2 linked regions of the Alligator mississippiensis genome follow. The protein of the gene in region 1 purifies or fractionates together with the protein of each later gene. This does not show direct contact. Links are inferred from orthologs where the notes say so. Each region holds a gene or a part of one and is shown in the gene's direction. Other genes may lie near its edges.

Region 1 (3,748 bases):
ACACAAAATGTTACTAAATACTTTTACTACATGCATGTGAGGTGTAAGGTAGGTGCAAGACCAACTGCTCTCCAGAATCTAGCCATCCACTTAGGAGCCTGTTTTTTGTGAAAAATCTTACCCCCAGTTTGTTCTGTTCAGTCACTTTAGGGAAGATATGCACCTTCCCCTCCCCCATTAGATTGGGGAAATACCAGAAAATCTATTAATCAAACATTTGGTGACACTATTGGTCATGACAACTCACAGGAAACTCCTGCAGACTACTGTCAGGAAATGAAGCTTCAAATATGAGCTGAACACCCAATTAAACCCACTTAACAGTGTAACTAACCTCGGGTGGGAGTCATCATCAGTCTCTCTCTGTGGGTGAGCAGTCTGATAACCAACCTAATGTCTATTTTAAACACTAATGCTGGTAAATGGCTGTCATGTAAAATTGTGTTTAGTCCAAGATTCTCTTCCCAGCTCTGCACTGGTGTCCTGCCATGCAAGCTATTTAACTCCTTGGTGTCTCAACTTTCCTTTATAAAATCAGATTATAGTTGCCTAATTAAACACTGTTCTGAATCTTCACTAAATCTTCTAAACTGTGCTGATATGGGGCTTATCTGAAAAATGAGACAGAGATGCCATACTTTATTACCCTGTGATGCACTTTGGTTGTGCTGTCTCATTCGAATAAACTGTAAGGATGATCTGACCCAAGTACTCTGTTAGGAAGTTCCCTCATTTTGTTTCCAGCACAGCAGTCCAGAGCCTCCCTTTACACTTCCTGTGGTACAGCATGGGCAGAGGAACTGGTGCATGTTGTATGGTGATGTCTGAGTTTAGGATAAATCTATCTGGGCAGTTCAATTTCTAATGGTCTCTCCTTTGTCTTGCCTAAGCAGAGTATTGGTCCTTGTATGCTGGAGGCTTCAGTGCAGCACTGGGACATTGTGGAAAGTAGAGCATCTTAGTGCCAACAAAACATGTCTGCAAAAAGAGCCTTAGTAATTCTGGCTAAAGGAGCAGAGGAGATGGAAACTGTTATCCCCACTGATCTTATGAGAAGGGCTGGAGTGAGTATGCCAACCACTACAATCCCTTGAGGTCCCTCTGAAATCAAAGCTGTTCTTTTGAATCAGTCTTCAAGCAGCCCGTGCACTGTTCCTTATTTTCTTTACCTGTGAGGTACCATGCATGTCTAGGGTATTTTGACCAGTATCAGAGAGTGAAAAAGAAGGAACTGAGTAATGCGCTATATACAGTTAGGGCAAACATCCAGAAGATCATGAGCAAAGCCTGCCAGTGGATGATGAATCCTTTAACAGATTTACTTAGTCTGATTCTTCTGGAATGTAAAAGGCTCTGGGTTGAAATGGTCCCTGACTAGGGTTGTTCAAATGATGAGTTATTGAATATATCTGTTAGACCTTCCAGACTACGAAACTCAATATCACCACAGATGTTTCTCCCTGACTGTTGCTTTTATAGGAGGGAGACTTTTGGAGTGAGTTTGTCTTCACAGCTCCACTTTCACTTGGTTTAAATGACCTCTTAACTAAAAGATACTTGTGAATACTATGTAACTGACCCCTGCAACTTTCCAAAGCAGGCAATTTTCCTGAGTCCTAATGCTGTCTGTACTTCTGATAGATCAAGGTCACAGTTGCAGGCCTAACAGGAAAAGAGCCAGTGCAGTGCAGCCGAGATGTCTTTGTTTGTCCTGACACCAGTTTGGAAGACGCCAGAAAAGAGGTTTGTCCTGTTGATTTGGCATGTTGCTTAACACTGGCCTTTTGTGGTTCACAACAGACTTAGAATTATATTTATTTTCCTTCATTAATGTTCTGTTAACTCACTCCTTGCAGCAGCAGCATCACATGCTCAAAGATACATTCTGCAATTTTCATAGAAATCTGTCTGGCTAGCATTTTTTTTCTTTATTCAAGAAAATACTAAAGTTTTGCACAACTTGTCACACTCCATCCAGACACTTTAAATATTTTACAAAATCAACTCAGACTTTATTTTAAGGTGTTACCCAGACACTGAAAAAATAGGGTGACTTGTATAAACAGAGAGCCCTTGCTTAGGAAGGAAGCGCAGTAACAGGGCTGTGTCGGGAGCTTTTGCAGCACAGCTCTTGTGATCACACTGAAGCACTGACATTCACACTCTAGGGTACTGAGCTCACCCACACTCAGACTTCTTGTTGGCAGAGGTTGCTTTGGAACAAGTGTCTCTAACACTCTGGTGGGAAAGGAGACAATAAGGCACTCCATTAAGTAAATATTTTGGAAGTTCCCCAGAAATTAGGATTTATCTGTTACTTATTACAGTATATTCTCACCACTATGAAGGTAGGTCTTCTCCATGAACAATCTTGATAACACACTAACAGAATGGTGTTTCTTTAGGGGCCTTATGATGTGGTGGTCCTACCAGGAGGTAATCTAGGAGCTCAGAACTTGTCAGAGGTAAAAGACTTCTCTTCAGCAATACCAAGGCCTACCCATCTGATGGAATGCTCTTAATTCTTTCAGTGATGCTTCTTTTTAGCTTCTACTTCTGCAAATTTAGTTAAATATTTTAGAGCAGTGGTGCCCAACATTTTTGGCAGGTGGGCTGGATCCAGCTGGTGGTCCCGATCCGGCTCCTGGGGCAGGAGTAGCAGACCCCATCTGACTAGGCAGAAGGGTCGGGGGCAGGCCAGCAGTAACCTGGCCCTGCAAGGAAAAGGAGCCAGACCTAGTCCCATGGGGGTAGGGGGAGGAATGGGGCATGGCTCAGCCCCAATCTGGCCCTGCAGGGGAAGTGAGCACAGCTCAGCTCCAACCTGGCACTGTGGAGGAGGAAAGGAGGCATGGCTGGGCCCCAAACAGGCCCTGCAGGGGGGAAAGGCGGTGTGGCTCAGCCCCTAATTCAGAAGTGGGAGGGAGGGGGTGTGGACCAGTCCAAGGGTGGGGGGCACCTTTTGGGTTTGGGAATTTGGTAGGAGGGAGGGTGGCTACATTGATGACCACTTGTCCTCTGCCAATTTTCTGGACCTTTGTAAGCTAATCAACTGTTAAGCAGCCTGGCCCTAATTACTCTGAAAATAAGGAGGTGCTTTCGATTCTTAAGGTGTGGAGATGCAATAATTGGTAAACAAAGATTTAATGCAACAAAGTGTAAAGTAGATTGAAGCCATAAGCACTTGAATTAAACCAGATGTCCATTCAATTTGCTATGCTTTCTCTGACAGTGCCTAATACTAGATTCGTTGGGGGTAAAGTCTAAGAAACTTGTCTCCTGTTTGGCTTTTTTAATCTTACCGTGGCCTCAATAGGTTTAGATATTGGTTTCAGCCATCAAATAGGAGGTAAATAAATATCCCTTCTAATTGTTACCTCTTGTTGCTTTTGAAGGTTCTACATTTACAATTTCTTTTAAAATCTGTTTGTTCTATGTTATAAAACAGAAGGACTGAAGTTCCTGTTTTAGTTCTCATTTCTTGATTTATATTTTTACAGTAGAAAATGTATCTTGACTTGTCATGTTAAAATAAATCATTATGTAAAGTGATACGGTTTCTTTTATGCAGTCCTCTGCTGTTAAAGACATCCTGAAGGACCAGGAGATGAGGAAAGGCTTGATTGCTGCCATTTGTGCAGGTGACGAAATATCTTGCATTGTATTAAAGTGTTGTCTGGACAGGTGCCTCTTACAAATCTCTGTTACTCAACTACTTAGTAATAAAAGAAATTCAAATGCCCACTGA
Region 2 (3,748 bases), on another chromosome or scaffold:
GGGTCTGTTGCCTGGCCTGGATGATGGGAAGGTGTGCTGACTGAAAGGAAACGTCTCCCTGGCCATGGCTTCCTTCTCCTGGGCATCCAATGTTCTTTTTGTTGGTGGATGGAAGGTGGGGGCAGAATGGGCTGATGGCTGGCACTTGCTGAAGCTCCTGGAAACACCCAAGGGAGACAGCGTTGTTGGTTGTAGCCGTGTTGGTCTAAGGACATAGGCAGGCAAGGCTCCTCAGGTAGATGTGGTATATTTTATTAGACGTGATGCCTTTTATTAGACCAACTAAATAACTAAATATGTGATATCTGAAGCTCCTGGAAACACTCAAGGGAGACAGGGCTGTTGGTTGTAGCTGTGTTGGCTTAAGAATATAGGCAGGTAAGGCTCTTTGGGTAGATGTGCTATGTTTTATGAGATGTGATACCTTTTATTAGATGGACTAGATAACTAAAGATTTAGTGGGTCTAATAAAAGATATCACATCTATCCAAAGAGCCTTGCCTGCCAAGAGAGATGGGTTCTTTGGGTAAATCTGATGTCTTCTATTAGACCAACTCGAATAGTTGGAAAAATTCCTCTTCGCAAGCCTTTGGGTACAAATACTAATAAATAAATAAATAAATGTAAATAAGGGAGACTCATCTTTTTTCTTGCCCTCCCCAGTCAGTCTCCATGTGCTCTGCTCTTGGCAATGAATCCCCTGGCCAAGGGACCCCCAGAGGAGGCGGTGCCCAAGCCTCAGAGGCAGGAGTGCCTCATCCCGGGGGCGATGGGGGGAGAAGTGCCCAGGCACATGGGAGGGGAGGCCTGCCTCCATCTTCCCCCTGCGACGAATCAGACGGATTGGGCGGGGAAGGCGATGGGGAGGGGGCAGGAGGCGGAGGGGCAGCGTCGCTGCCTGCCCGCTCTCTCCGCCTCCCGCCCGCACCCGCACCCGCTGCCTGCCGGGCTGGGACCGGGCGGGGGCAGCTCCCCGCGACTCTCCCGCCGGCTCCGGCTCCGCCATGTGCTGAGGCAGGGGCCGCTCCTCGGGTCCCCCGCGCCGCCGCTGCAGCTCCCCGGGCCCCGCGGTGAGTGCCTGCAGCTGCTCGTTCTCGTGACGGTGCTTCTCGCAGTGGGGATTTGGGTCCTGTCCTGGCTGCGCCTGGCGGGAGCGGGGCACGGCCCCGGGGCTGCGTGTGCGGAGAGGCGGCTCCGCCCGGCTGCTGCCCCGACCCCCCCGGGCTGCCTCCGCCTCGCGGGTCGCTTCATCCCGGGGAGGATGAGAGAGAGAGTGTGTGTGTACCTGATCCCAGGCTACATGTGCGCTGGGCGGGATGAGCCTGAGCCTGGCTTCAGCTGCTGCTGCTTCGTGCCCTGGAAATGCCACAGCTTTCTGTAGGGAGGCACTGGGCAAACTTTCCTTCTGTCTCTCTCTTTTTTAAATAAAATTTTGGTCTAGCCCCGTCCCCTCCGGCAGGTCAGCACACTGCCGAACTGCCCAGCCGGGGGAGGGATGGGAGGCTGCGTCCATTGTGGTGAGTGAATGCTCTGTTAACAGGTGCCCCAGCCTGCCTTCCTCTCCTGTGTGTGTGTGTGTGTGAGCTGTGTGTGTGTTGTGGGGGGTTGATTCCGCAAGGCTCAGTGTGTGTATGTGCATGTGTGAATGTATGTTTGCGTGTTTGGGGGGTGCAGTGTGATTTCCCAGGGCTCAGAGTGTGTATGTGTGTGCATGCATGTGTGCATGTGTCTGTGTGATTCTCCAGGGCACAGCATCATTCAGGAGAGGGCAGCTCCTGGAGAAGGTCCTGGGACATTTCCCTCACTAGTGTCAAGCCTGGTTGGAAGCTGCCTCCCCACAATGGATCCCAGAGAGCCTCGCTAGTAGTAGCTAGACAGATCTTACATCTCAGTGATTGAAACGGCTTCATTGCCTCTCCTAGGAAGACTGGCAGCTGTTAGAAAAGGTTTTAATGAGACACCAATAGCACTTCTAATTTTTAAAACCCTTGGTAGGGGTGGCTGCAGCCCAGATGTTTCCTTAGACACCCATTCCTCCTTCTCAGCATCACAAGGGAAAGGGAGAGGAGAGGCACCCCTAAGCTTTTGCTCTACATATGGGTGGAGAAAGAAGTGATCACCAATCTAGTTAATTTGTTAAAGGGACACTGTCATTTTTTAAGTGACTTATATGTAGCTCCTGACCTTACCTTGGCTCCTGTTTCCCACCTGCCAGTTTGGGAGTTTTACAGTGACGTCTTTCTACTTTTACTCCATGTTTTGTTCCCCCTGCTGCTGTATGAAGGACCACTTAAAATCACAGGGGAAACTAATTCTATAGGAGAAAGAAGCAAACAGAAAGAAATGCTGTCAAATCCGAAAAAGCAGACCTTCCCTCTCCCCTCCCCCTCCAAATCCTTTCAAGTATAATAGGGGTTTCTTATAACAATAGTAATTAAACACTTTTGCACAGAAGTCTGCTTTTTTTGACAGTGTTTCTTTAAGGGAGTCTGTGGCTCTGAGTGAGGAGATAGAAAATATCATCTCATCTTAGAGCTGAATCCTTCCTTCTTACAGGAAAAAACCCCGTCTCATTTCCTTTAAAGGAAATTTTATTTCAGAAAAGAGAAGATCTGGAAAAGATCTGTTAAATCAGCTAATCCACCCCCCATTCTTCACCCTCACCAGAACTGAATCAGTTCCTATAGCACATTGCAGCCTCTTCATTTTTAAGGCTCCTTTGCAATTAGCTAGGTCTGTTCTACTTGGGTTGTGAGAGTACTGCAGAAACAAGATGTATGTCTGTAATGCTGGTTAACTTGTTATGTATGACAGCGTTTGAGAAAATAGAAAATATCAAGGCCATTGAGAGGAGTGCATGTATTTTTGGACCACTTTTCTTCTGTATGAAATACTGAACATGGGTGTGTGAAGAAAGTCAAATGTATACAGATGATATTTGTGATGTTCAGAAAAATCTAATCTTTCAATAAAAACGGTTCTAGTCACAGCTGGAACAAAAGTCTTCCTGTCAGAAAAAAGAGCACTTGATTCAAAATGTTTGTCTTGTTCTCTTTCTCCAGTACTGTCTAAAGAAATTGTTTAACCATGGATGTATTCATGAAAGGGCTTTCCAAGGCTAAGGAGGGAGTCGTGGCAGCAGCAGAAAAAACCAAACAGGGTGTGGCAGAAGCAGCAGGAAAGACGAAAGAGGGCGTTCTCTATATGGGTAGGTGGGCAAGATAAAACCAACTGCTATTACTGTGTTGGCTTTTGTGTGTGGTATGAATGACTGATTGAAAGACCAGGAGCCAGACTGTTGGGAATGACCTTGGTATAAATGTGGAGTAACTCAATAACAGAGTTGCTGCACTGTAAATGAGATTTGACTTGAGCCCTGAATTTTGAAGGTAAACCTCTGTAAAGCTGGATAATGACTCTTGCTAGATCTTTTGGTGTTTCATCGCACCATCAGAGTCATCCTTTATTATGGCACAGTACCATAAGCATATAGGCTATAAGCTGGCCTGTAAGCATACAGTAGGTGGTCTGTGCACATATGGCCATGTATAATAGGAGATACGTCAAAAATTGTGCATGCTGTTCAAACTGCCTGCCAATTTCAGGGCAAAGGGGCTGGTTATAAAGAGTGGCAGGCAGTTTTACAATTGAAATGCTATCGAACATGAGGATTTCAAGAATATGCTTTTTCTTTTTTCCCCCCATCTAAAATGAAAAGGAATGGAAGATGACATCAGGGCTAGAAGAG

The links. Proteins that work in one complex are often made in the same cells at the same time.
Region 2: the proteins of PARK7 (region 1) and SNCA purify together in Homo sapiens (affinity purification with western blotting; 3 studies listed by BioGRID and IntAct, with this or other methods). This does not show direct contact. The link is inferred for Alligator mississippiensis from reciprocal best matches to the Homo sapiens genes PARK7 and SNCA.

The regions. Positions count from the first base shown.
Region 1 is NC_081836.1:20,171,454-20,175,201, forward strand, and holds the start of PARK7 (Parkinson disease protein 7), read left to right. Parts: upstream 1-969; 5' UTR 970-974; coding exon 975-1,064; intron 1,065-1,641; coding exon 1,642-1,743; intron 1,744-1,913; exon of another isoform or gene 1,914-2,238; intron 2,239-2,405; coding exon 2,406-2,465; intron 2,466-3,571; coding exon 3,572-3,641; intron 3,642-3,748. UniProt on the Homo sapiens protein: Multifunctional protein with controversial molecular function which plays an important role in cell protection against oxidative stress and cell death acting as oxidative stress sensor and redox-sensitive chaperone and protease.
Region 2 is NC_081825.1:152,570,701-152,574,448, reverse strand, and holds the start of SNCA (alpha-synuclein), read left to right. Parts: upstream 1-890; 5' UTR 891-1,070; intron 1,071-3,062; 5' UTR 3,063-3,087; coding exon 3,088-3,208; intron 3,209-3,748. UniProt on the Homo sapiens protein: Neuronal protein that plays several roles in synaptic activity such as regulation of synaptic vesicle trafficking and subsequent neurotransmitter release.